Linked DNA regions of Sus scrofa. The protein of the gene in region 7 interacts with the protein of the main gene of each other region in a pairwise test. Links are inferred from orthologs where the notes say so. Each region holds a gene or a part of one and is shown on either strand. Other genes may lie near its edges. The genes, in order: NUTM1, RINT1, ADAMTSL4, ZNF24, PRKG1, STAT1 and LMO2.

What was found.
Region 1: the proteins of LMO2 (region 7) and NUTM1 interact in binary tests that used the Homo sapiens proteins (3 or more experiments, as listed by UniProt). The two-hybrid records come from large-scale screens. The link is inferred for Sus scrofa from reciprocal best matches to the Homo sapiens genes LMO2 and NUTM1.
Region 2: the proteins of LMO2 (region 7) and RINT1 interact in binary tests that used the Homo sapiens proteins (3 or more experiments, as listed by UniProt). The two-hybrid records come from large-scale screens. The link is inferred for Sus scrofa from reciprocal best matches to the Homo sapiens genes LMO2 and RINT1.
Region 3: the proteins of LMO2 (region 7) and ADAMTSL4 interact in binary tests that used the Homo sapiens proteins (3 or more experiments, as listed by UniProt). The two-hybrid records come from large-scale screens. The link is inferred for Sus scrofa from reciprocal best matches to the Homo sapiens genes LMO2 and ADAMTSL4.
Region 4: the proteins of LMO2 (region 7) and ZNF24 interact in binary tests that used the Homo sapiens proteins (3 or more experiments, as listed by UniProt). The two-hybrid records come from large-scale screens. The link is inferred for Sus scrofa from reciprocal best matches to the Homo sapiens genes LMO2 and ZNF24.
Region 5: the proteins of LMO2 (region 7) and PRKG1 interact in binary tests that used the Homo sapiens proteins (3 or more experiments, as listed by UniProt). The two-hybrid records come from large-scale screens. The link is inferred for Sus scrofa from reciprocal best matches to the Homo sapiens genes LMO2 and PRKG1.
Region 6: the proteins of LMO2 (region 7) and STAT1 interact in a two-hybrid assay, tested with the Homo sapiens proteins (2 studies listed by BioGRID and IntAct). The two-hybrid records come from large-scale screens. The link is inferred for Sus scrofa from reciprocal best matches to the Homo sapiens genes LMO2 and STAT1.

The regions. Positions count from the first base shown.
Region 1 is NC_010449.5:80,156,698-80,160,812, forward strand, and holds the start of NUTM1 (NUT family member 1), read right to left. Parts: upstream 2,801-4,115; 5' UTR 2,764-2,800; coding exon 2,622-2,763; intron 871-2,621; coding exon 162-870; intron 1-161. UniProt on the Homo sapiens protein: Plays a role in the regulation of proliferation. Regulates TERT expression by modulating SP1 binding to TERT promoter binding sites.
Region 2 is NC_010451.4:105,391,381-105,395,652, forward strand, and holds the start of RINT1 (RAD50-interacting protein 1), read left to right. Parts: upstream 1-1,472; 5' UTR 1,473-1,629; coding exon 1,630-1,671; intron 1,672-1,989; coding exon 1,990-2,035; intron 2,036-4,272. UniProt on the Homo sapiens protein: Involved in regulation of membrane traffic between the Golgi and the endoplasmic reticulum (ER); the function is proposed to depend on its association in the NRZ complex which is believed to play a role in SNARE assembly at the ER.
Region 3 is NC_010446.5:98,586,456-98,590,691, forward strand, and holds the start of ADAMTSL4 (ADAMTS-like protein 4), read right to left. Parts: upstream 2,801-4,236; 5' UTR 2,635-2,800; intron 2,124-2,634; 5' UTR 2,050-2,123; intron 890-2,049; exon of another isoform or gene 813-889; intron 153-812; 5' UTR 1-152. UniProt on the Homo sapiens protein: Positive regulation of apoptosis. May facilitate FBN1 microfibril biogenesis.
Region 4 is NC_010448.4:119,164,405-119,168,698, forward strand, and holds the start of ZNF24 (zinc finger protein 24), read right to left. Parts: upstream 2,801-4,294; 5' UTR 2,709-2,800; intron 851-2,708; exon of another isoform or gene 846-850; 5' UTR 763-845; coding exon 343-762; intron 103-342; coding exon 1-102. UniProt on the Homo sapiens protein: Transcription factor required for myelination of differentiated oligodendrocytes. Required for the conversion of oligodendrocytes from the premyelinating to the myelinating state.
Region 5 is NC_010456.5:97,562,210-97,565,080, forward strand, and holds the end of PRKG1 (cGMP-dependent protein kinase 1), read right to left. Parts: intron 2,628-2,871; coding exon 2,561-2,627; intron 843-2,560; coding exon 744-842; 3' UTR 501-743; downstream 1-500. UniProt on the Homo sapiens protein: Serine/threonine protein kinase that acts as a key mediator of the nitric oxide (NO)/cGMP signaling pathway. GMP binding activates PRKG1, which phosphorylates serines and threonines on many cellular proteins.
Region 6 is NC_010457.5:95,611,820-95,615,319, forward strand, and holds part of STAT1 (signal transducer and activator of transcription 1), read right to left. Parts: intron 3,125-3,500; coding exon 2,989-3,124; intron 1,336-2,988; coding exon 1,286-1,335; intron 577-1,285; coding exon 482-576; intron 1-481. UniProt on the Homo sapiens protein: Signal transducer and transcription activator that mediates cellular responses to interferons (IFNs), cytokine KITLG/SCF and other cytokines and other growth factors.
Region 7 is NC_010444.4:27,051,136-27,054,635, reverse strand, and holds part of LMO2 (rhombotin-2), read right to left. Parts: intron 208-3,500; coding exon 1-207. UniProt on the Homo sapiens protein: Acts with TAL1/SCL to regulate red blood cell development. Also acts with LDB1 to maintain erythroid precursors in an immature state.

The DNA.
Region 1 (4,115 bases), on a different chromosome or scaffold from region 7:
CATTGCTGCTGTTGTTATTTTCATTCTCAATAACATCTCTATCACCCTCAGGACCTGCCCTCCTTCAAGTATTCCTAAAGAGCCTAAACTCTTTTGTCCATCCCCAAGTCCTCCTTCTTGAAAAGCCTCTAGGATAATGAATCTCAGGTCTCCGCACTTACATAAGAAAGCAGGAGAGGGCCTCTGCATCAGGACTTTGGGATAAGTGCCTCCGTGCCAAGGCTTTGTAGCGCTGCCAGCGTCGGAAATTCTCATAAACACCCTTGGAGGTATAGGAGAGGTCACCCAGAGAGGGCTTGGATCGGGCGGCTGGAGGACCTCCTTCCCCAGTTGTCTCACGTGGTCCTGGCCAAGCCTTTTCTGGGGGTACAATGGGGGCCAGTTGGGCAGCTGGCAGTGGAGCCTGAGCAGAAAGGCCTGGTGGGCCCTCCTGGCTCACTCCAATAGCCTTGGTGGGCAGGAGGGTCTTCACGTTGGAGGCTGTCAGGAATCCGGTGGCAGGACACTCAGGGCCCCCACAGGGAGCACCTGAGGCAATCCAATTGAGGGCAGTCTGAGTAAGGATAAAGTTCTGAGTTTGAGAGGGCTCAGCCGGCCCCCCTTCTGTCTGGACTTTGACAATGACCTTGCTAGCTCCAGCTCCACTGGGGCCAGGGCCCCCATCCCCTGTTACCAGCAATGGACTAGGGAAAGCAGAGAGCACCAGGGGGTTGCCTAAAGAGAATGCTGGATGCATCGGGGGCTGTGAGGGCTGCTCCCAGGGTGGTTGGTCTGGTGGCCCAGGAGCAGGCTGGGGGAGGGGAAGTGCTGTGAAAGGAGACAGGGCAGCGCCAGATTTCATGGTCATGTCCGGTGCTGACAATGGAGACACTGTAGAGACAAAGAAAAAGAGGGGATGGAGGAGGAGAAAAAGAGACCAGCAGTTACGTCCATCTGAGTTCCACTCTAGTCCCTGAAGAAGCAGGCCACTGATTCTCAACAGGTGAGGAAGGGGGAACTTGTATAGTTTGCAAATGTCCTCCAACTGTTTCTGTCCCTTACTCCCCATTGACAATGACCTCTGAACCATAAGCTCATACCCCATGACACATGCCACCTAGCATCCAGGGACATCTTTTATTCCCACCCATTACAAACACATTCAAACCACCTGAACCCTGCTCCCAGCTGCTCTGTGGCCCCTGTCACCACTCAAAGAAGCACTATTCCCAGGAGCGGGTGTGTGTGTGTGTGGATTATATGTTTGGTTCCCAGAAATTTGTTACATAACAGCAAGGAATGACTAGAGATAAGGGCCAGGAAATGGATTGGGGAGGGCGGTGTGGAGAGGGAGGTTTCCAGAGCTTTAAATAACTGCTGGACGTGTTGTACTTTTATCTGTGATCTTTCTGTTCGGAGCTCCCAGTATCAGAAGTTTAGGATCCACTTTTGAACAAGGCACTGATAACGAAGACTGAAACACAGTTCCTGCTGAGCACGAGCTAGGAGGACTCTAGTCAAAGAAACCAAGGATAAATACGTAAAACATGTACTTAATTAACTGGGACATGTGTCCCTAAGACTTTTAATGATAATAATAGAAGATCATCTGGCTAATTTCATGCTACTCTCCTCCCCCTCTTATGAAGAATATTCCACTGGCAAATTAACAACACTCAGCTTCCTGACCGTGAAGGAGATGATGAAGAGCAGCAAACTTCCCCTGAAGCCTAGAGCAGAGGGCCAGGAATATTCCCCAAAGTACAGAACACCATGAAATGGGTCTGAAGGCCTGAGCTCCTCGAAAGGTGGAAAAAAAACAGAGCACCTCTGGAAAGTGTCAGTTCTCATCGCTGCTGAGTGACCTCCCACCCCTGGCCCTGGGGCAGCAAGGAAACCCACACCCTGAACTAAAGGCAGATCCAGGAGGCTCTGAACAGAGGCACTTACAGCACCTTCTAGTCTAGCTTCCTGGAGAACATTTCCCTACAGACTTGGCAACAGATGACCCCACTGAACGGTTTTCTAGCCAAGACTTCCAATCTCCCCCTACCCAATGAGATGGAGAGCAGCCTCAGCTCAGTTCTCTCCGCGCAAAATCCCAGAGCAGGCTCCAGCTGCCTAAAGAAGACCTCACGACTTGGGCCTCCCCTTTGAAACACTCGTGCCCCTTGTACAACGCATACCCCTGCCCCTGCCATACAGAAGCATGTTGAAGGGGTCCCTCTTCCAGAGAGGCAAGCTGCTAACTGCCATCCCTTCTCTCTACTCAGCACTCTCCTCTGAGGCACTTTGATTGGCCACCCAGGAAGCTCTCTTCCTCCCCCAATCCCCAGTTTTGTTGTTGTTGTTTTGGCCACACCCTCCAGGGGAGGAGGGGAGGCCAAGGATCATAAGCTCATCTCAGCAGGGACTTGACCCCAGCCACATTATGACAACACTGGATCCTTAACCTGCTGCACTACTGGGGAACTCCAGCTCCCACAATCTCCTTCCCTAGCCTTCCCAAGTGTGACGCCTTGGGTGGGGGTCTAGTGCACTCACATCCCTCTAGGTCAGCCCAGGTGAAGCGTCAAGTGTTGAATCTCCGAGAAGTGAGCAGGTGGTAGACTCTCCCCAACCTCCCCCACCTGCAGACTCACCTCCATCTGAAGCCATCCTCTCCGGTTTGGGCACTAACCGTGGCTGCCTGGAAGCCTTCACAATGACACGGTGGGTCCAGCACCCAGAGAGTAACCTGGCTCCAGTAGATACACAGGGATCCAAGGAAGGAATGGTAAACATCAGATCAAAACAGAACTAGAATCTAGGACCCAAGGCATTCTGCAGGGGGGGAGGGGAGGTGGCATTATGGGGTGGGGTTAGGGAGAGATTCCACAAAGGGCTCTGGAAGTGGGCAGTAACCAGGAATTCCCTCCAAATCAGAGTATGGCAACACAATTGTTGCACACCTCTCTGGGGCAACTTGCAGATTCTTTCCTGGATTCCCAACCACATCTTGGTTCCCTACAGAATTCTTCACCAATACATCTAGTTTTTGTCTTTCAATGCTACCCAGTTCTATAACTGACTTCCTATTAATAACAGGTTCTGGCAAACCCTTGACTTAATTCAGTGTTGGCTGTATTTTCTGAACCAAATTCAGAGCACATAGTCTGTGTACTTAAGGATCAAGGGAACAGAATGTTTGAAATTAGGGTTGTCTTAGAAGATCAAGGGCATTGAATTGCTGTATACATATCATTTCCTTGGAAAGCTGTGCTGCAGTTCCCAAACTGTCCACTACCATCAGCTCTGCAGTCCACAGAAGGCTTAGCCTTAACCCTGGCTGAAAAGCCTCCCATTCCATCAAAAACTGCTATTCAGCCTAAAATTTCAAGAGCAAAAAGTCCTTCTTTTTGTTTGTTATTTTTGTTTAAAATTTTTGTTAATAATCTTAATTTTTTAAATGGTAATATGTCAGCATGGTTCAAAAGTCAAACTATGCAAAATGAAATATAACAAGTCTCCAACCATTCCTTTCCTCTGGAACCGAGTTATTTACCCCAGGGAAAACCAAATTTCCTCTGAATCCTTGCAAAGGTATTTTATGCAATTATAATAAACACAAACTATACTCTTTTTAAAAAAGCTTTCAGCTTTTTCTGGTTATAAACTTAATATATATTACAACGTTTCTGCCGTTATAAATAATAACGGCCACCTTCGTAAAGATATCTCGGTTCCAAATTCATTGCTTTAACTAGAAGTCCTATAAGGAGAATTTGTACGTTCTTTTAAAAATTCGAAATACCCCTAAGGGGTGCGTCTTATTAGCTACTCACCACTATAAGAATGGGCGTTGAATTTGTGGTAGAGACTTGAGTTTGAATCTTGGTTCGACCATTAAAACATACTTCACCAGTTTCATAAAATAACTTCACGCTCTTTTCGCTGTACAGAATATTGAATACCCATCATGCACTCTTTACCGCCAATACTTTGAAATAGGGCGAGGGAACCGGATGTAAAAGAGGGGAGGGAAGAAAACCTTCTTCTTTCTTCCCTAAAGTAAAAGGGGTTCTGGGTCCTGGAGCCCTGGTTTCTCCAGGTAATAGAAGCTCACTGCCTCTGAAATGGGTGTGTATCTTGTGATA
Region 2 (4,272 bases), on a different chromosome or scaffold from region 7:
CACCCAACCCCACCACTACCACACTTGCCTTTCTTTTATTTTATCCGTCCAATATGGTTACATTGTACTTTGGCTGCCCTGACATTGTGTCTGTAAGGATGCAAGTTCAATACCTGGCCTCACTCGGTGGGTTAAGATCTGACTCCCTGGCCTGGGAACTCCATATGCTCCATATGCTCAATGGGTTAAGGATCCAGATTTGCCCTGAGCTGTGGTGTAGGTCGTAGATGCGGCTCGGACTCTGTGTTGCTGTGACTGTGGTGTAGGCCAGTGGCTATAGCTCCATTTTGATCCTAGCCTGGGAACCTCCATATGCCTTAGGCGCAGCCCTAAAAGACAAAAAAATAAAATAAGGAGTGCCTGTCATGGCTCAGTGGTTAAGGAACCCGACTAGTACCCATGAGAACGGGATTTGATCCCTGGCCTTGCTCAGTGACTTAAGGATCCGGGTTGCCGTGAGCTGTGGTGTAGGTCACAGATGTGGCTTGGATCCCGTGTTGCTATGGCTGTGGCGTAGGCCAGCGGCTACAGCTTCGATTGGACCCCTAGCCTGGGAACCACCATATGCTGTGGGTGTGGCCCGAAAAAGACAAAATAAAAATAAAATAAAATAAAATAGTAGACTGTTGGAGTTCCCTGGTTGCTCAGTGGGATAAGGATCCGGCCTTGTCACTGCTGTGGCTCCGGTTACTGCTATGGTGAGTTCAATCCCTAGCCGGGGAATTACCGTTATTGTGGCCAAAAAGTAAAAACAAAATAGTAGCTCGTGATTGTTTTATAGTCGCAGTGGCGTCATATCTCAGGACATAAATAAATAAATACAATGTTCTCATTGAATCGGTTCTGTTTTCTCTAAGGGTTGCTTTTTCTCCCTTTCTCTGTTAGTTTTAGTCTCAATGGTACCACTTTACATGTTTATTTTTGAAGTTGTCGCATCCCTGAATTCTCTACCTATATCATGCTGCCAGTCCTGGTCCTCCTCCCTGGCAAAGTACAGACTTTGATCTGAAGTATATATTAGATGCTGAGTCCTTTCCCTCTGTTCTGCTCCCAGAATGTTTACAATCAGATCTGCACCCTTCAGGTAGGAAGTTGAAGTGTAACTTGTAGTTAAATCTGATTAGCTTTAAAAGAATGATCCAAAGATACTGACATTGGAAATTATGCGATTAAACCACCCAACCAAATTACATTACTACTTGTCAACAAGCTCCCTCACACTCTCAGAACATCTGGGATATCCTCTAAAATATAAGTTGAAATGATTCATAATGAATTTACAGTGTGGAAGGAAGGATACTTTGAATCTCCATCATTAATGTTTCCAAAGCAGTGAAGGAGGTTTTACTTAGAATGACAAGGACTGCCTTTGCTCGCCCCCTTTTCTTCTTCCAGAGCGTCCGATCCGGATCCAAGCCGGCAGGGGGCGCCACCGCGCAAGACCGGCAACTGCGCGAGAAGGGCCTCTCTGGAAAGAAAGGAAGAAACCAGAGAGACGGCAGAGGAAGTTGCCGTGGCGTCCAACGCTAAGGTCTCGAAAGGTTCAGCCGCTGTCTAGCCGCTGGCCGGAGCCAGGGTCCACTGACCACGCTGGCTGCACATGGAACCGAGGACTCGCGCGGAGGCAGGATGCTCCCGGCCAGCGAGATCGGCGAAGCGCCAGCAACCCCGGTGAGGGGGCCCTAGTGGCCGCGGGAGGGGACACTGGTGGCCCAGTGAGGTGGCATAGACCTCTCAGGAGAGGTAATCCCAATGCAGTGGCTGTGGCGATACCGATGAGATGACACAGATCTTTCTGGGGAGGTGGCTGTGGTGGCCTCAAGGAGCTAGCCCTTTTTGGAACCTGCATCAGATCGCACCTCAGGAAGTCTCCAGGGGGGAGGGGTCTGGAACCTTGGGGTCCTCCCGTGGATGCCCTCTGGGAACCCTGTATGAATTTCACTTATTGCTTCAGTCTTAATGTGTTTGTCACACCTGCTCTCCTTCTAGTGCTGTTCTGAAAATGGTGACCAAAGGAAGGATGTCAAGGACAAAAGTAAGCAGACTCCGAACGCCTTTGCACTTTCCACTCAGCATTTCTCCAAAATTCAGTCCTGCAGGGTCTACATCCAAGAAGGATGGTACCTTGTTATTTTTTAGATGAAGCACCTTTTTTTTTTTTTTTATTTCCGTAGAGTATCCTTTCCTAGTATTAAATACTGATTATTATCATACATATATTTTTGGCTTTCAGGATTGTACAATATGGGATGATTTGGAGAAGAAGGCTTCCTGACTCCTACCTAGTGCAGGAACTGGTGGAGTCTCACTCAATACTGGACTTAAATTAGTTGGGAACTGCCTGTTATTGCAATGAAGCATCAACTTAATAAGCATCACGAGTTAGAACGGGCTGATGATCTAGGAGAGATAACCTCCACCTGTGTTGGGTTTAAAGGAGTCAAATGATAACTTTTCCTATTGGCTTGCCTTTAATTAGACTTAGCCCATATGCTTTTACAAGTGGAATCAATCAGAGGACAAGCGTGTAGGGGAATAATTTTTCAGTACTTGCCTTGTAAACTCAAATTCTTCTTTGAGGGAGGTCTTTGGTGGCCTAGATCTCTGGTTAGGACTCAGTGCTTTCACTGCTGCAGCCCAGGTTTGATCCCTGGTCTGGGAACTGAGATCCCACATCAGGCTGCTGCACTTGGCAGCCCCCCAGGCCCAAAAGAATCTGGTAGTAAAATTAAAAACAAATTGTTTGGAGTAAATCAAGCATTTACTGTTCACAGGGTTTTTTGTGAGTTGCAAAATATTTTTCCCAGTATCCCCCCATTCATTCTCTGTTACCACCATCAGACAGAAAGGGTGAGGACACTTTTTTCTTGCCTCTGTAGGGGATACCTTAGCAGCAGATGGTAACTGCTCCAGGCCTGTCAAATAGATGCCTTCAAATGATAATTAGTTATACTCTATCTTCAGTGAATTAGCACATAAAAGTTGATTTGGGAAGGGCACAACAGACAACTTGGTTCCTGGTTCTTGAACTGAACCCAGAAGAAGGAAAGATCATTATTTCCATTTCCTACCTAAGATAAAAGCATATATATGCCAGGGATGTAGACATGTGCCATTTTATTTTAATGAGCTAGGCATGGCACACTGGTGGAAATCAAGGAATATTCAGGGGCCTTTGGAGGGAAATTTACTGGGAGAGGAAGAGGGAAGCATGTAACAGCTGTTTCATCAGAGTGTTTTGGTTCTTCTGGCCGTGGCACATAGCCTGGGAATGAATAGTAATAGAAAGGGTGCCTAAGTTACCATATTAGTTTTAGGGGTTAGACCTGCCCTTAACATTGCCTCCTGCTACAGTCTGCCTCAGAAAGAAAGCTTTAACTACTTCATAGTGCTTGCCAGTCACAGCTGCCACAACTCAGCTCCTTTTCCTTAAAGGATTTGAGAGTACCTCCTGTACCTCTCTCAATTAAACACTTTCTTTTTCTTTTTTTTTTTTTTTTTGTCTTTTTGCTATTTCTTTGGGCCGCTCCCTCGGCATATGGAGGTTCCCAGGCTAGGGGTCTAATCAGAGCTGCAGCCACCGGCCTACGCCAGAGCCACAGCAACTCGGGATCCGAGCCGCGTGTGCAACCTACACCACAGCTCACGGCAACGCCGGATCGTTAACCCACTGAGCAAGGCCAGGGACCGAACCCGCAACCTCATGGTTCCTAGTCGGATTCGTTAACCACTGCGCCACGATGGGAACTCCCAACACTTTATTTTTCTACCTTTGCCCCACTCATATGTTTGGGAAGTTGATGCCATTAAGCTGTGGACTTTGTCCTTGACCTTCCTTTGGTGGCTTGGTCAACTTCTTTGCAATTAGAAGTGCTCCTTACAAAAAACAGGAAAAGAGACATCACCCCTACGCCATCAGCAGTGTGTCATTTTGAAGAATGTCATTTGACTAAGACTGTACTATGCTACATTTAAATGGTTAAATCAAAAGAATATAATTTTTACTTTTTTATTTTTTAAAGTATAGTGCCACTTTCTGTCTTACAGGAAAATGACCCAGTTATACATTCCTATACAGTAGGACCTTATTTCTTTTCCATTCTAAGTGTAACAGTTTGCATCTACTAACCCAAAACTCCCAGTCTATCCCACTCCCTCCCTCTCCTCCTTGGCAAGCACAAGTCTGTTCTCTATGGTCTGTGAGTCTGTTTCTGTTCTGTGTATAGGTTCATTTGTGCCATTTTTTGGGGGGGGGGCTGTTGAAAAAGAGCT
Region 3 (4,236 bases), on a different chromosome or scaffold from region 7:
AAGGAAACACTCTACTTGGGCATCTAGGCTTCAGAGGACTGAAGACGGACCCAGTCTCGGGAAGGCTGGGGACTGGGAGGGATGACCCCTCAGCAAGACATGTCAGAGTGAGGAGGGAGGCGTGGAGAAGACTGGCCCAGCTCTTTAAGATCCTAAGGGTGGGAAGAAGAAGGAACACTTCTTTGTCCGTCTGCCCAGGCTAGAGGGTGAGGGTCTGCCCTCAGCCTCCAGACTCAGGCTAAATCCCCTCCCTCAACTGTAGGAAGGTCTCAGCTCCTTCCAGTCCTGACTAGGGACAGTCTCAAAGCCAGCCCAGGCACATGCATCCTTCTCAAGTTGCTTTCCACCTGGCTCCTCCTGGAAAGCTGAGAAAAGAGGCTCAGCAAGCACTTGCCAGGCACCCCCTCTGAGCTGCTGACTGGAAGCCCCTGGGTTTCCCCTGCCTGTCTCCCAGCTTTCTCTTCCTTTCTTTTATGGAGGTTCCCAGGCTAGGAGTCTCATCGGAGCTACAGCTGTGGCAACACCAGATCAGAGCCGTGTCTATGACCTACACCACAGCTCAAGGGATGCCGGATCCTTAACCCATTGAGCAAGGCCAGGGATCAAACCCGCATCCTCATGGATCCTAGTTGGGGTTGTTAACCGCTGAGCCACGACAGGAACTCCATCTCTTCCCTTCTTAGCTAAGCTCCTTCTGGAACCCTCAAGCACATCTCTGCCTGCCTCAAATGCTTTTCAGCCAAGGGATAAACTAAATGGGCTGATGGTTTAATCTCTAGAGAAGCAAGTGATTTTTCCCACTGAGACTTCACCTCCCTCTGGGGGCTGGCGTCCAGCCCTGGATCAGTGAGGGCTTACTTCAGGCGAGATTCTGATGGGCTTGGAGAACCTGGGAAGGGGAGATGCAGCTAGAGATGTCGTTGCTCCCCAGTCCCGCATTGGTCTATCTTCTGAAGAGCTGGGAAGTCCATCCTGAAGTCTAGCCTTGATCATCTGGGAAGCAGAACTTAGTCCCCTGGTCTAAGCCTGACTCTTCCACCGCTCCCCCTTGCCCCCCAACCCCTTCCTGCTCACAGTGAGGCCTTTCCACCCCCACTCCTCAGGCTGCTTGGAGCTCTGCTTTCCAGGAAAAAAAAAAAAATGTTTCTGTTGGATCTGAAAGGCACCCGGGAGAGGAATCCAAGGAGCTAATGCCGAGGTGGGCCAGCTCAGGGGCAGGAAAATGACAGCGGGAAGGGCAGGAATGTGCTTGGGGGTAGCAACTCCCAGCCCGCACTCCCCTCCCTGAGACCCCAGGACTTGGGAAGTTGAGGGAGGGGTCGCAGTGGTTGAGCCCGAGCTGCAGGGTCTCTTCAGCTCCTTGGGGTTGGGAAGGGGTTGCTGATGTCTGCTCCTTCCCTTGGCTGGGCTGGCCACTGAGGTCAGCAACTCCACCCTGATGGGGGATCGGGTAGGGGCTCCAGAGAAGGGCCAACGTTCCACCCAAGCCTTCAGCTCTCTGCCTGCCTCTCACTGGAGGGAGGTTGAAGGGAAGGAGAGATGGGGTGATGGTCACTGTCTACCCCTTCTTGCTGCCAGGCCCCTCTCCAATCCCTCTCTGCTTCTGCTCGCAGCTACCCCAGGTCTGTATCTTGCTTTCTCTCTCCATGGGTCTACCCAGTACACATAATCCTGTCCTGAGCTGAGTTTGGCTTTGGCAGTTCCCTGGAGAAGTGAGGGGTGGGGGGTGGGGTGACGTGAGCTCCTGGGGCCATGGCCAGGCCTGGCTCCCTCTCTGGAAAAGTCCTACCCCACCTCCTGCATAGCTGGGCAGGGGGCCGACACCCCCTCCACTGCGGAAACAGACACACATTTGTGTTTTTCACCCTTTTCATGTTCCTCATCTGGTGTGTCTCACCGCCCAGGGTGAGGAAAGGAGAGGTCAGAAGTGGTCACCCTTGGGCCAGGCTAACATTGGTCTAGACGAACCTGGGCTCCTCCCGGCCACACCTCCACACTGGCCAGTGAAGATTAAGGAGAGACTAACCCCTTCACCCCCAGGGGACCCACCTCTGGGAAATGGGTGCCACGGAGGGGCAGGAGGCTGGACAGCAGGTTCCAGGGCTGGCTGGAGAGTCCCTATGCTGAGAGAAAACACTTTGGTTCTCCTTGCACCTTCCACTCCTGAGTGAGGGAGGCCCAACCCGACAGGTGTCCTTCCTTTCCAATCAGGCTGAGTTTGATCACGGGCACCCACCAGCACCCCTCCCATCGTCCCTATCCCCCAACTCCAGGGCCAAAGGACGGGGGTGGAGGGTGGGATACACATCCTCCAGGAGCACCCTTTCAGATGAGGGCAGGTGGCGCCCGGCGCATGCCGCGAGGTCCTGCGTATGTTTTCCGACTTTATGACTTAGTAGGAATTTTGGCCGGGTGACGGGGCCAGCGTTCCAAGGGATCAGACCCCCTCCCCAGGAATCCGGCCCCAGGGACTGGAAGATCTTCCGAGGCTCTAAGAGCTGGGGCCGGGGTCGTGGCTGGGGCGCGACCCTGGGGAGCAGGGAACTCGGGTGGCGCGGGCGCGCAGGGCCGGTGGTCTAACGGGACCTGGGAGAGAGGGCAGCCGGGGCCAGGGGTCCCAGGGAAGGTCTGTACCTGCTCTTCGAGGCCCCGGCGGCCCGTTAACCCCTCTGCGCCCGGGCGCTCTCTCGAGACAGCTTTGCTCCGCGGCGGCCACGGCGGCCCTTGAGCCGGGCTCCGGACTCTGCCGCCTCCGGCCGCGGCTCCGCCCCCGCCACGCCCCCTCTCCGCCCCCACTCCGCCCTCCCGCCACGCGCCCGGCCCGCGCCCCTCGCCGGCCCCCGGGTCTGGGCGGCCCACCCCGAGCCCCCGGCTCGCTAAGGCCACCCACCCAGAGTAGCGGGACTAGCTACTCCCGCCCGGCGCCCGCCGACGGCTCGAGGGGGCGAAGCCGAAGGGGTCCCAGCCCTGTTCGAAGACAGCCATCGCCCCCGGGCACTGTCTCCCGGCCTGGCTGCGGCTCGGGACTCCGGGACCCGGGCCTCCCAGCCGGCTCCGAGTGGGCGGTGCGAGTGCTGCGCCTGCCCTGGCGGGGCGGCCGCGAGGGGCGCCAAGGGGCTGGGTGGTTCCTGTACACCAGCGGCGTGGACGAGCCTCTGGGCCCAGATCTGGGCACTGCTGGGCCGAGATAGACCCGCACGATCCCAGATGCCCCATCGGCGGAGGCCCTCTCCTCCACGCAGCCTCTGGTGCAAGCACACTCTCATCCCTGCCTCTCCCACGTTTGGCTGTGAACCATGTGGTTCTGGCTGCTCAGGGGACCTCTATGAGCCTCGGTTTCTTCTTTTTCTTCTTCTTCTTCTTTTTTTTTTTTTTTTTTTTTCTTCTTTTCTTTTTTGGTCTTTTTAGGGCCACACCAGGGGCATAGGGAAGTTCCCAGGCTATGGGTATAACCAGAGCTGCAGTCCCGGCCAACACCACAGCAACGCAGGGATCCGAGAAGCTTCTGAACCTATGCCACGGCTCATGGCAAGACCAGATCCTTAGCCCGCTGAGCGACGCCAGGGATCGAACCCACATCCTCATGGATACTTGTTGGATTGATTACCGCTGAGCCAGGAGGGGAACTCCAAGCCTAGGTTTCTTCATCCATAAAATTTGACACACAGGGCATAGCGGGAGGAATGCGCTGACTTAGGAGTCAGACGATTTAGATTTGAATCTCTGCTCCAGGACTTGTCAGCTCTGTGGTCTTGGATGAGTACTTCAAACTTTCTGTGCTGCAGTTTCCTCATCTGTAAAATGGGCTTATCTGATTCATATGACAGGCTTGGAGATACGTCTGTCTATTTATGGAAGAATACATCCCAGACTCAAAATTGGAGACAATACCTGGGGAGGGGTTGTGGGGTTAGGAGGCTGTCACTCTATGCTTATATGTTTTTGAATTTTTAACCATGAGCATTATCTATGTCATTAGTTAAAAACAAAGAAAAATAATATATACAAAATGGCTGACAGTAGATAACAAATGGACACTACGATTTAAATTTTTATTTGCCATTTATTCATCAACCGCAGTCGTGTATTATTGAGTCTATTCAGTTTGTTTGTTTGCTGTATTTTTTTGCTTTTTCTAGGGCCACTCCCTCGGCATATGGAGGTTCCCAGGCTAGGGGTCTAATCAGAGCTGTAACCGCAGGCCTACACCACAGCTCATGGCACCGAGCAAGGCCA
Region 4 (4,294 bases), on a different chromosome or scaffold from region 7:
GTTTTCCACAGCATCAAGCTCAGAACTTGGTAATCCCTGAGCTTCTTCTTGAGATACAATCTCCTCTACTAGCACGTCCCGTTTTCGTCGCCGAAGAGAAACCTGGAAATAACAGGACTGGTTCAAATGAGAAGGAATCTGTTGAGAATCAAAAACACACACACAAAAGCAACCACACGAAACATATGCTGCAGAGGCCTAGATGACAAAGCAGCATAAATAATGGGGGGCAGGTGGAGGCATAAACAGAATTCTAACTTAGCTGAGTGGCATTAAATCAGCAGCTGCGCCTACTGCCATGTCAGGGCTCCTGACCCAGGAATGCAACACAAGCGGGCTTACCGGCTGTCCAGGGTCATCTAGCTCACTCTCTAAATCCTCTAGAACGGTCACTGCCTCCTCTCCATTCTCTGGATGATGCTCTCGAACCCAAGTCTGTAGCTCCTTGGGCAGGATGGCAACAAACTGCTCCAGTACTACCAGCTCCAAGATTTGTTCTTTTGTGTGTGTCTCTGGCCTGAGCCATAGACGGCAAAGTTCTCGAAGCTGGCTCACAGCTTCACGGGGCCCAGGTGAATCCTGGTATCCAAACTGCCTGAAGCGCTGTCGGAAAACCTCCGGGTCAGGGAGGTGGTTCCAAGGGATACTTGACCCCTCTTCGCCATCAGGATCCTCCTCCAACTTCACCCTCAGAATTTTTTCCTCTTCATCTGGAGTTGGGATGATAAGTATTGAATCTTCTTCCACTGACTGTGCAGACATCCTGATTTATAATACTCCAAGAAAAGACAATCAAGGTAGGAGACAGGCCTCAGGGAAATACCCTGTTTTCTTCACAGGCACTCCTGAGGCACAAGAAATGAAAACAATATAAATGACCAAATATCCTAAGAATCTGAACATACCCTGATAGAAGAAAAGAAAATGTATTTTTACTAAATTAAACATGCCAATCAATAGCCTACAACAGAAGTTCCAGTTCACTGCTAAATCTGGCCCACTGCCTATTTTTCAATAATGCTTGCACTGAGAATAGTTTTCACATTTTTATATGGTTGAAAAAAATCAAAAGAACACTTCATGTCAGGTGAATATTGATAGAAATGAAAGTGTCTGTCTCCATAAATAATTTTACTTATTTGTTCACTATTGATGCTACAACAGCGTGACTACTGTACTCTACTCAATAGAGTTGAGTAGTTGCAATAAATGCTACATGTCATGAAAAACTTAATATTTACCATCTGGCCCTTTTGAGAGAAGTATGCCAATCTATGTCTACAAAACTTGCCTATCTCGGTGTTATCTAAATGGAACACATTATTTGCAATTCAATACCGGTGTAACCTGACACACCTGAGTCACCTCAAAAGGAGGGGTATCTTTTTTAGCACCTGCTTAAAAAATTTTGACAATTTTTTTTTTTCAGGGCTAAGAAATAGTTTTAAAATGTTTAAGAACTCCCTGGACTAAAATATACATGAAAAAAATATTCACCTGCTCAATAACAGATACATGATGTTGAAAAAAACCACTAGGTGCCATAAAATTCAAATATTATTCAGTCACCCGAGACACCATAAGTACCTTTCAATTTGTAATGTGGGCATTAATCATAGCAAATTCTATGAAGAAAAGGGACTCTCATAACACCTTGACTTCCCACAGTGGCGCAGACTCTAATCCTTACACTGGATGACTCACAATCTCCCCAGCTTCTACCTTCAGGGAAACCTTGGGCTATTTCTGATCCTTTCCTTAGTATTTGCACAGTCATGCCTATGCCATTGTTTAAAACACCTACTGGGAACAAGCCATGCAGTTACTCAATATTATCTATTCAGGGCCCGGAATCTGAAAGTCAGTAACTGCCCAAAACTTCCTGTAAACCTATCAAGTCTAGGTATCAGAAAAAAATCTTACCAAGTAATATACATACAGGTTTGTTTAAGCACTCTGGAGTGTGGCGGCCTTATAAACAAGGTTTAGCCAACAGTATTCGTTTGTTCCTATTCCAAAACCCTACCTTACCATTGGCTCAAACACTCTAGAAAAATAAAATTTCTCTCCCCTTTACGTTTTCATACAGCACCCTGCCGATGGGACGTGAGGAGGTGCGGGGAATGCGAACCCGCAGTCCCAACCAGGTTTGCGCAGGGAGTCCTGTCCCACGCGACCTTCCCACTCACTCAGCGGAGTGCCGTGGCGAACCCGGCCCCCACCAGACCACTCCAGCCCCTCTTCTCTCCACACTCCCGGCTGCGGCTTTCGGAAGACCAGAGGCCACCTAGCCTCAACAGCGCCGGAGTCACGGCACTTCCGCTCGAGGCCGGCCAAACTACAAGTCCCGGCAGCCACGGCGGAGGACCGCCCACCCCCCTCCACCCGAAAAGAATCCCAGAACCCTCCGCGAGATGCCAGGGCCTCGAAATAGAACAAAACCGGCCGATGGGGGAGGGGGGAAGGCGGGGGTCGCGGAAGGCACAAGGAAGGGAGGACTCTCCAAGGGTGCCGAAAGCCCTATCTGGCTTTCTGTCTATCCCTCCCTGTCTCCCAGCTGCTGGGCGCTGAGACCGTGGCCTGTCCCCCGCGCCTCCCGGGAAGCCAAGGAAGGTCACCGCCAAGCTTTTTCGCTAACTCTTGCCAAGCGGACCACAGCCTCTAGCCCAGCCTCCCTCGCACGCTCTTCCCCCCTCTCTCGCGCAAACCTCAAGCTCGGGAACTGCAACCGCTTCGCTGTCCACGGCCGACGCAGAAACGCCGCCGCTCACAAGCCGTTTCCCAGAAGCCCCCGGCGCAGACTGCTTCCGGTCTGTGGGCCCCAGGAGGCGGGGGGTAGGCGAAGCCCCGCGTTGCCATAGAGATGCGCTCCGGGCTGGGGGAAGGGCTGTCCAACTACAATGACCGCTTTGAGGCTGCGCTTGGCCTCACGCCTCTCTCCCCTGGTTAGCCCAGTCTTCTGTGTTCCCCTTAAAAGACCAGGAAAGGAAAGAAAAAATTCTGCCACTAATGTAGTCTTTACGGTGTCATAAGTCTTTTCACATGCATTATCTCATGTGATCTTCACAGTAATCCTCTGAAAGAAGTAACAAAAGCTAATATTTATGTGTGCTAACCACGTTGTACCAGGTTCTGTCACCGTGGTTTACATGTCTTGTAATTTAATTTTCGTGAAAACCCTATGATGTAAGAACTTTTATTATCCCCATTTCACAGCTGAGGTAATTGAGGCTCAAGTAAATAGCTTGCGGAGAATACATAACTAGTAAGTACGAAGCAAGATTTGAAGCCAAGGCATGACTCTAACCTTTGGCTACCATTTGCTGTGCTATAGAGCTTTATTATGACTAATTAATTTGTCAGGGAAACAAGATGAGACTCTTAATCAAGAGCTTTGGCAATGATCGCAGAGTGAATTTGCAGAATGCATGGTTATCTTCTGACTTTAGGCTTGACATTTCATACTACAAAACAGCTGCCAAAGTGATTTAAAAACATAAATCAGACCACTTAATGCCCCTACTTAAAGGCCTTCAGTGGATCCCTACTGCATTAATTATGACATTAAAAACTGCTTACATTGGCCTGTAAGGCCCCCTGTGGTTTTTCCCTGCCCCCACCTTACCCCCACACCCCAGCTCTTAGCCTTGTTGTGGCTGGCAATCGTCAGCCTTCCTGACCATTTCTTCCTCCTGGAAGCCTTCTCACGCTCATAGCACTGGGTAGAAGTGATCTTATGTATTCATTTCACTGGTTTTTGTTTTATTTCGTTTTGTTTGTAAGTCCCATAAGGGCAGGGACCTTGCCTGTCTTGTTCACCACAGTATTCCCATGTAGTCCCGGGATGCTGACTGCCTGGTACATAGAGAACTCAATAAATATTTGTTGAATAAATGAATGAAATGTGGGCTGGTCACATTGCTGCCTTTGCTAGGTCACATGTTCAGCATCAGGAACCACACAAAAGAGCCCTGTTGTTTAAGGTCTATGTTAGAAGTACAGGTCCAGCCTTCCAGCAGCCTTCCAAGATCTTCAGGCTTCAGCTTTCTGCCTCTTTCAGAGTGCCCTTTGCAAAGTGCCCTTAGGCTCTGCTGAATTCATGAATGAGAGCGCAAGTGAGTCAGCTGATGATCCCATAGCACTACTTTACTCTCTGACCAGGATTTTGCCTCCCCAGAACACCTGCTACTTCTGATGGCCCTTCTTCTCTTTCTTTTTTAGGAGGTTTCTGAAATCCAGACTTTTTTTTTTTTTCTCTTTTCTACTTGGCTACTACCACCAACCTGCTTGGCTG
Region 5 (2,871 bases), on a different chromosome or scaffold from region 7:
CATGCCAATTTATCAAAAAGAAAAAAAAATATCATGCACATTATTTTCTTCAGTCCTCTGTGAAAACGCATATATACCTGCTATGAGAGTTCTCAGCAGAATCCATAGCAGTTGTGCTTTTATCATATCAATTTTTTAAATCTGTCAGAAAGGAAAGGTAACATTCAGTCTCGTCATCAGCACTGCTGGGAAATAAAATCATGAAACTTCTAGCACTGGTTTGACATGAACTCTGACCAACAGATGTGTGGTCCTCTTGTGTGCGGTATATACACCAGCTTGCAGTAATATATCCTACAGCCCTCACTTGAAGAAAGGGAAGAGTTCAGTTTTTGTACCATAGTAATCTATCGTACCCAATATATTATTTTTTGATCTTGATAATTCTAGCAAGGTACTGACTCTTTTCACTAGATTGAAGTGTTTCCTACAGTCTTTCAAATTATAATCAGAGCAAAGCAAGATCATTGCAACAATAGAAAACATCTCTTTACTGGTAAAAGGCTTTGCTTCAGGACCACCATGTCAACTGCTGTTTTTAGGTTCAAACAGAAAACATGTAAAGAGCACTACTGTCATCTAAGCAATAAGTCCTAATGCCACTGTAGTTACTGGAGCAGCATCGATCAAAGGCATCATGGTGACCCCGAGCACTAGTCTTCTCTCTTTCCTTCAGGTTTGCTGGCAGCTATGTCTCAGAAAAAGCTGTCTTCAGCAAGGCAGAAGCAGGTAAGAGAAATACATTAGAAGTCTATGTCCCATCCTGAGTTGTCATCAGGTGGTGGTTCATCACTGTCCTCAGGGAAACTGTCAAAATTGCTTGTGTCTGTGGGTGATGCAACCTGCAAATGAGAGAGCAAACAGTAAAAGATTTCTGATTTTTATCAGTGGGAGTCCAGCTAGATTTTTTTAAAGCATTCTTTATCCATTCTATACTCAATGGCTATTTTTGGAATGTCTCCTCTGAGTGGGTTTTGCTCTTTGTGTTGAGAGAACAGTGGTGAATAAAAATGAACATGGTTCTTGCCCTCATAGAGTTTATACTCTAAGATATAATAATGTGATTAAAACAAATCATCACAAATATCTGTAGATAAGTATAAATTTTGATTAGTGTTATGAAGAAAAAAATAGAAGGTGTCATGATAGTAAAAGCATGATCATGGAATGCCTCGTTGAAAAAGTATTGACTTAAAGCTAAGAATTAATGAATTCAGTAAAGAGCTTTGAATACAAAGCTCCTGAGGTGAGCGAGGTCTTCATGCTGTGAAAGATCTAAAAGAGGTCATTTGGCTATTGTGTAAGAGAGGAAGGGGGTGGAATGAGAAATAGGACAAATAGGCAGAAGTCATCCTAAGGATTTTGTGTGTGTATTCTGAGTATAATAAAAAGCCATTACTGAACTTAAGCAAAACTCTTATAAGTTTATTAGGCAAAGTCTAATCTGCAGAGCATCAGTAAAAGCAGTGAAGAAACACACTTTAATTCTCCCATATTATATAATATTTAGAATTTCATATTTTGTTTCTAAAAACAAAACTTTATGAATGCAATGAGCATCTTAAATAATTTGCTTGTGAATAAACAAATATTAGCATAGAAATCTTAGATGTAGGAAAAAATGTTTCTGAACAAGGAGCAACCCTGAATTAGTCCTATAAATAAAGTATGTAAATGAAAGGCTCAGGACTGCAAAGCAACTCTTTCTTCCTTAGTTAAAACACAGCACTTTTTTTTTTTTTTAAGATAGATCTAGTACTGAATAAAAATAAAAATGGAATCCATTGAAATTTCTTTCAGGTTAATATAGTGTAAAACATTTAGTCCACTTAGTAGACTAGCAGTTTAACAAACCACCTGATATGTTAAGAAAAGAGAATCTTTTCTTTTAGAGACCGCTGAAAGGGTAAAAGAACACTATTGTTCTTGGGAGTGCTTCAAAGTACTGTGGGCACAGGGAAGAAGGAGCTAAGTGGGAGCATAACTGAAACAGTATTGGCCAGGAATTGACAGCTGTTGAAAATGGCTGCTGGACTGTTGACCAAACTCAGTAAGAAAGCAAAGGGCAGGGAATGTTTTGATATGGTCCATTTGGGTTGTACTCTTGGAGACAGAGCACAGTAAAGAGTAAACTGGAATCATAAACAGAAGTTAACAGTAGCAGATTATCCTATCTCACTCAACTATATCCATGTACACACTAAATGGTTGAGAACTTACTGTGTCTTGTAGAGAGAGAACACATTATGTGCAGAAATTTAAAATAGTATACATATTTTGCTAATAATCATGAATATGACTAAAGTTGTTAATATATCCTTGCGCAAAGATGTATAAACCTTTTACTATTATGAGGAATAAAAGATTATACTCTTCTGTCAACATCTGTATATATTTAACACTGTTTTTAACCTTGGATTTTAAAAGATATTATGTTAACCTGGTATTTAACCAGTTTATTTAATATGACCATAGGATAAAAATTTTAAAAATAACAGATCTTTGACTGAGAAACACCTTCATGTGTGTCACACAATTACAAGCTGGAAGGTCTACTTACACTTGGTATTATAGGAGGTGTCAAGGTGCCTTTTCTTAAGCCTTCCCAATTAAAGCCCTCAAACCACCTTAGAAAGAAAAAAAGTAGACAGTTAAGGCATTTTACCTCAGCTAAAGTCGTCTCATTGAAACTTCTATGATGTCCATGACTGATAGAAAACAGGCACCCATTTTCAATGTGAAGAAAATGTTTTCTATTAATTGCAGGTTTTTGAATATTAGCTTATTCAATGGAATGCATATTTTTTAAAAAACTAATTGTCAAAATTTTAAACACCAATTAGAAAGCAACTCCTTTTTTTAATTCTAGTA
Region 6 (3,500 bases), on a different chromosome or scaffold from region 7:
TTCTACTACAAAAATGTCTGAATTTATGCATCTCATAGCGAAGAGGAAGGCTCAGACAATCCATGTTCATATCCAAGACTTATGACCAGGTTAAAGCCTCTGCTGAAATAACAACTGACCCTGGGAACAAATTAGAAACAACTTACCAAGTTAAAAAAGGTTTTTCTTCTTTTCTGAGAGGCAAGAAACTAGGTGCTCAAGAAATTTTTGTAGAATGAATGAATGCATGAATTGCACTCAGGGCTTTCTAATTTAGCTTTGAAAATGCAAATAGACATATACTATGATAGGTATAGATTTAATCTTATGAGGGTCCACTATCATGAATACCTGAAGGGACAGCCTGTAAAACAGCTGTGTGTGTGAGATGCACATAGTCCTGTCAAGTAATGAAGTCTGTCTGGGTCAGGCCTATCCCAGCCTTGCAGTAGGGAGCGTGTGCTCAACATGTTTCAAGAATACATCTATCAATGGCCCTTACCCATCATTCCAGAGAGAGAGCAGGTGTTTCTTAATGAGTTCAAGGATACTTTCAATCCAAAGCCAGAAAGGAAAATTTTTGTCATTTATGTTTTCCTGCAAGTATACAAATGCACACATTATGAACCACAAAATCCAATACAGTGACTTACCATGCCTCCTCCCACCGTGGGATTTTAGTTTGCAAACACTGCCCAGCTGCCAAAGCTAGGGCTGTCCCCTCCAGAGAAGGCCCTCCCTCTTATCAGCATTCAGACACCAAGTTCTCCACTTCCTGAGCTGGGCTCTGCTTCCCTCTCCAAACAGCAGCCACCCGGCCAAGGAATGACCTCCAGGGTGAATCACGGAACATGAGCTGCCTTCATTTGCACTACTAATATCCAGTAGCACAAGCTTGTCAACACTGTCTGGTGACCCTAGTGGCGTCTGATTATTCCCCTCAACTGGTCTCACTGCTGGAGCAGACTCGGGCAAGCTCATCTGGCCCTGCAGGCCAGCCACGTCGGCACAGAGCGCATTCCTCATGGATGGGGCTGAAATGCCGCCAGGCCAAGGGCCACTGTGAGCAAACAGAAGACTCACTTCGGATATGAAAGAATGTTATCACACAGGCAGGTGCTTCCTGTCAGGCTCACACTTGGAGACTAACCTTTGGAGCTGAAGGAAAGTAAACAACTTGCCCTTGGGGTTCCATGGGTGAGAGAGGAATATGCCAAAGTAAGCACAGGGCGGTCAGCGTCACGGCGAGAACTCCTTTACACAGAGTGTAAAGAGCTCCAAAGTCTAAAGCCCAGACAGTACCCACCTTACAGAACCTCGTCCAGGGAATAAGACCGTCAGGGCCAGCAGTGGGACCTAAACAAATACAAATAAGCATTTTCAGGAAATGGAAATCGATTCTGAAGCTTTGGCTGGACTGATGGCTCTTGTATTTGCTCTCAGAAAGCCAACATTCAACAAAGGAAGGTTGTATGTACCTGGCTGAAACTCCCAGAGGCACTAATATTAATTACCTGCACTTTCTAGAGAACCTCCACCTGGTCCCTCTTTGTGCAGCATCGTTTCCCACTGCCTGCTTCCCTCTCCCTCTACTGTAGGCTCCTCTTCCAGGGACCCTACAGAGCTTTTTCCTAAGTTTGAACTAAGATGAAAGATGGGCCCCTAGGAGATCTATTTAACTGACACTTGACTTTAGAAGCTTATTTTAGATGATAGGCATGTCCCTCAGCCCTCCTCCAAATAGGACACGGGCTCAGGGAGATCGATGCAAATCAAATGCCAAGTTAGCGAAATGAGAGAGGGCAAGGAAGCCTAGTGGTTATCACTACAAAGTGAAGTGGCCCAGGCTGTAAGAGGCAGTGAGCCCACCATTTCCTCACAGAGAACCACAGATAAGCCATCACAGGTGGAAAAGATATGTCTTAATTTGGTGCAAATAAGGGATTTCTCACTTTTTACTAAAACAGCACAAGGTCCCCACTGTGACAGCTACATGGCCAAGAGAAGGCACTGCTGAGAGCCATTTGGTTAGGAAAAGCCTACTGGTATTTGCAGTACATGAAGCTCTGCTATACAGTAAGCAAATCCAGAGAAAAGGTACCCATGGATTTTTAAAGAAATAGTTCAGATACTCCCATGCACTGAAGATCTGACCTTGAGGCCAAGAGGTCTTGGATTTGCTTAGTGTGGAAGACTAAAAAGCCCATGACATTAGCTACCGACAGGGAATTTTCTAGCATGGCCGGGACCACATCAGGCACTGCTGGTGACAGGCATCCTCCTGATGTGGGCCGTGTCTCTGCCCACCTGACACAAGACACCTGGGTGTGTGCTGTGTGGGCGGCCCCACGACCTTATTCTTACCATGCTGGGGGCTTTTTTCTCCCCAAGGTTAACATGACTTTCATCTTTCTTATCAAAGAATATTCTAGCCACAAATAATACATTTTACATAACTCAGAAATCTTTCCCTTAGGAACTCTGCTCAGAAATGTTAATATGAGATAATGGGGAAATATTTCATTTTTTTTATTGTTTCTTTTGCTTTTTAGGGCTGTACCCATGGCATATGGAGGTTCCCAGGTTAGGGGTCAAATTGGAGCTGTAGCCACTGGCCTATGCCACAGCCACACCAGATCCAAGCCACGTCTGTGACCTATACAACTCATGGCAACGCCAGATCCTTAACCCACTGAGCGAGGCCAGGAATCGAACCCACATCCTCATGGATACCATTTGGGTTTGTTACCACCGAGCCACAAAGGGAACTCTGAAATAATTCATTTTTAAAATTTTTTATCAGGTCTGTATCTCCTTCCAAGGTGAGGCATAATTTTCACTCAGCTATAACAAACCGCAGCTATAACAAACCGCAGCTGGAAAAGCCAACAGATTTTTAGCACTCTTCTACCTTGAACAAAATAGAGAGCAAAGAGGGAAAGGGGGGCAAGTCAGGATATTTTTATGAATTTCAATGGTTAGATATACAAAAAGTTAATATGTTCATACCAAGAAGTTTCTCTCCCAGCATGTTCAGCTGGTCCACATTGAGACCTCTTTTGGTGACAGAAGAAAACTGCCAACTCAGCACCTCTGAAAGCTGAGACCATCGTGCACAAGGTGGGTTCAGGAAGAAGGACAGATTCTAGAGAGAAAACACCCAGAAGTTAAGAGCTACTAATGAGTCACCAGTCACAAGCTTGGCATTGAAAAGTGGAGCCGTGCCAGAGTTCAGTGCTAACCTCTGTGACACAGACATTTTCACAGCAGCAGAAGAGAAATACAGTCGATTCTCATTACTTGAGGATTCACATTTGTGAATTCATCTACTCACTAAAATTTAACTCCAGAATCAATACTTGTGGCACTTTTGCAGTCATCTGTGGACACACCCAGGCACACAGTGGTGAAAACCTTGAGCTGCTCAATATGTGCGTTTCCACGTGAGGTCAAACAAATCGACACTCTGCTTTCCTGTTCATAATCATACTATAGGCGGGTGTCCTTTTCGAGGTCTCTAG
Region 7 (3,500 bases):
TTGATCTTAGTCCACTCGTAGATGTCCTGCTCGCACACTATGTCCGAGTTGATGAGGAGGTATCTGTCGCCCACACAGAAGTGCTTCTGACAGGCGGCACACTTGAAACATTCCAGGTGATACACTTTGTCTTTCACCCGCATGGTCATCTCGTAGGCACGGATCCGCTTGTCACAGGATGCGCACAGACCGTCTTGGCCAAAAAGCCTGGGGGAGGAAAAGAGAGAAAAAGCTCAAAAGAGACTGGCAGAGATGAGAGGGCTTGGGGATGGGTTCCGTGATGCTGGCTGGATTTCCAAGACGTCGGGAAGCAAGGAAGAGCTGGGTCCAGACAGATAACCGACTCCTATGTACTTTCCTGGAAGGAAGAGGGTCCTCTGGGGTGAAATGGTATCTGCGGCATTTGTGTTGGCCATAACACCTCATCCCTCTCATGAGCTCTCTCCCTGCCTGCAACAACCACTCTCCTCGCCTTTAGGCTGCCCCAGGCCGCCTCTGTGGAAAAGACTCTCAGCTGAAGCTTTGTAAGAGGGTAGGCATGGCTGGCGTGCCTCCTCCCAGGGGAACTCTCAGGTTTTTTTTGTTTTGGGGGGCTTTTTGCTTTTTTAGGGCCACACCCATGGAAGTTCCCAGGCTAGGGGTTGAATTGGAGCTGCAGCTGCCAGCCTACACCACAGCCGCAGCAATGTGGGATCCGAGCTGTGTCTACGCCATCTGCACCACAGCAATGCTGGATCCTTACCCCACGGAGCAGGGCCAGGGATTGAACCCACATCCTCATGGATACTAGCTGGGTTCGTTCCTGCTGAGCCGCAATGGAACTCCAAAACTCTCAGTTCAGAAGAAGAGCAGGAGGAAACCCCTGGGGGCCCCTTTGAGAGGAAACTGACCAGGAATGCGATGAATTGGGCATCTTTCTGAAGCTCCCAAGATCTATCATATCAACAGCCGCTAATTCCACCCAAGGGGAGGACTGGTTTTGAATGACTCCAAAGGCACAAAGGCCACATGATTGTTCGCTGGGACCCCAGCTCCTGGGAGACAGAGGCAGTTTGAGAGAAAACACGTGGTATAGCTAAGCATGCCTCAGATCTGGAGGACAAGCGACGTCTCTCCATGCCCAATGCAAGATCTTAATTGAAGATCCTTGCTGCCCCGACAGCACGAGTCTCTGGAGAGGCTTCTGACATTGAAACTAAGACCCTCCGAAGCCTCAGTTGGTCAATTACTTCAAGGAATATTCAGTGTCAAGGTGGGAAATGCAATATGGCGGAGCCCAGTGCAGTGGGTCTCAGTGTGGTCCGGGGACCAGCCGCATTTGCACTCGCTGGGAGCTTGTGAGAAATGCACACTCGGGCCCTCCTGATGGAGGTACTCTGCGGGCGATCCTGAGCACTTCCAGGTGATTCGAATGCAGGCTGAAGTTTGCAAATCAGCCCACAGGCATGGGAATCAGCAGACTCAGACTCAGTCCAGGACTCGCCCTGAGTACCTGAGTGACCCTGGTGAGACCTCCGATTCCTCTGAGCTTATGAAACGGCAGCGCTCATAGCGCCTGCCTCACCCAGCTGTTAGAAGGATACAATGCAGCCTGTCAAACCACCAACAGCCAAGGTCAAGGGCGAAGCCAACTCTGGCTGTGTTTTAACACACCTTGGGGGTATTCCCAAAGGGGCCAGTCTTGCTGCCGGAAGTCATTTCTGCACGTGCCTGATCACATGGCATTTCAGGGGGTCCTTCCCACCCTTTGGGGGCAGTGTTAGGTAAATGCTTGTTCTTATTAACTTCAAATAGAGAATCAACCGGCACATTCTGAGTGGCCGTAGGGGAGATAAGGGCAGCTGACAAATTTTGAAATGTGTGGGCTACACTAATGGGATCAAGATGTGGTCTGTGAGCAGAGCGCTCCCTGTTACAGCCAGGCCAGCTAGCTTCTCTCCGAATCCCGCTTTCCCTTTGAAGATCCCTTTGAGTGTTTTCGAGGCACCACCTGGGAGCAAACTCATTACTGGGGGAGAACATTTTATCCCGAGGCAGCAAATGGAGGAGCCGTGGGGAGCTGCCACCTTGGCGGTCAGGAAGTAGAAAGGCAGTTCTGGTTTCCTGATCGTTCAGTAAGTTGAGTTGGGGCCGAGCGAGAATCGATGACTCACAAAACCGTGTGCGTGGAATGACGCCAGGCGCCTGGGTGTGTGACCCTTATGGGAGGAGAGCGTTTATTAAAGGGAAGTCGGGGGTAAATTACAACCCACGTCAGGCAGCTAATGAAGGGACGGACGAAGGACTGATGTCTGGGAGACAAGTTCAAGTCCCAGCATCACCTCTAATTAGCCAGGTGCCAATGACATCCTCTGCCCTGGCTCCTGTGTCTTAAGCTGTAGAGCAAGAGACCAGGAAGAGAAGGTCTCTGCAGCCCCTTCCAGCTCTGGTTTGCTGAGACTTTGCCACTCATGAAAATAAGCCAGGACTTGACATCTAAATTGAGTGTTGACCTCTGGCACCAAAATCGGTGCCTTGGGCTGGATGGCCCAGGAGCGGACCTGAAGCCTCATATGACTGAGGATGTGTAATCAGGGGAAATGGGTAGGAGGCAGGAAGCCAGGCAGAAGGGGTGGAAGGCAAGCAAAGTTGCGATCTGGGGCCAAGGGCCTCAGAGGGGAGCTTCGACCTGACCGCGTGGGAACTCTAGGGTGGAAGCTGTGTCTCCAGGCGGCCCTGGCTCCAGGCAAGATTGCAGGACTTTGGTCTCTGGCAGTGTCAGTCATGGGGCAAGGTCAGCTGGGCATCTGCAGGGGTAGTGGGTACACCTCTGGCTTTTAACAGGTGCAGGTGCTGGCAGCTGAAGGTAAACCATGGCCGGGGGTGGCGGGGGCGGGTGCACGACACACACAGATTGGTAAAAAGGAATCTGTGGGGATCTGGGCTGAGCTTTAATATTAGCAACTACTGTTAGGTTCCCAACAAAACCACCTAATAGCCCGGGGTTTATTCCAGTTCTGCACGGGAGTCTCATGAATATTTGAGGCTAAAAGCCTGAAAAAGACTGTAACAGGCAAGTCAGCCACTGGAAATCCTCAGGGGAAGAAGTTCTCCTTGGAGGGCAGGGGAGAAGGATGAACCCCATCACAGGACCCCTTCAACTTGTCTTTTGCCCAGACATACCAAAAATGTTCAGAATGCAAGCAAACAAGTCCATGGCTAAAGGGCCATCTCTGCAGCAAGAAACGATTTTTCTCCTCTGTCAAGAGGTGTCATGTCTTAAGCTTCCTCCTGCCCATTTTAATAACAATAATATAAATATGAAAGGATGGCTGGAAACGCCTGCACTAACACAGAGTTAATTAACATGTTGTCTAGGAATGTAGCAGGGAGAAGAATTATTTCATGTCACCAAGACACAAGTTAATTAACATTGGGCTCTCCCAGACTATTTTTTTTTTCCTCTCCTTTTTAAAAATGCAAAAGATTAACAAGCCCAGGCAGCACAGGGCTTATTCGTG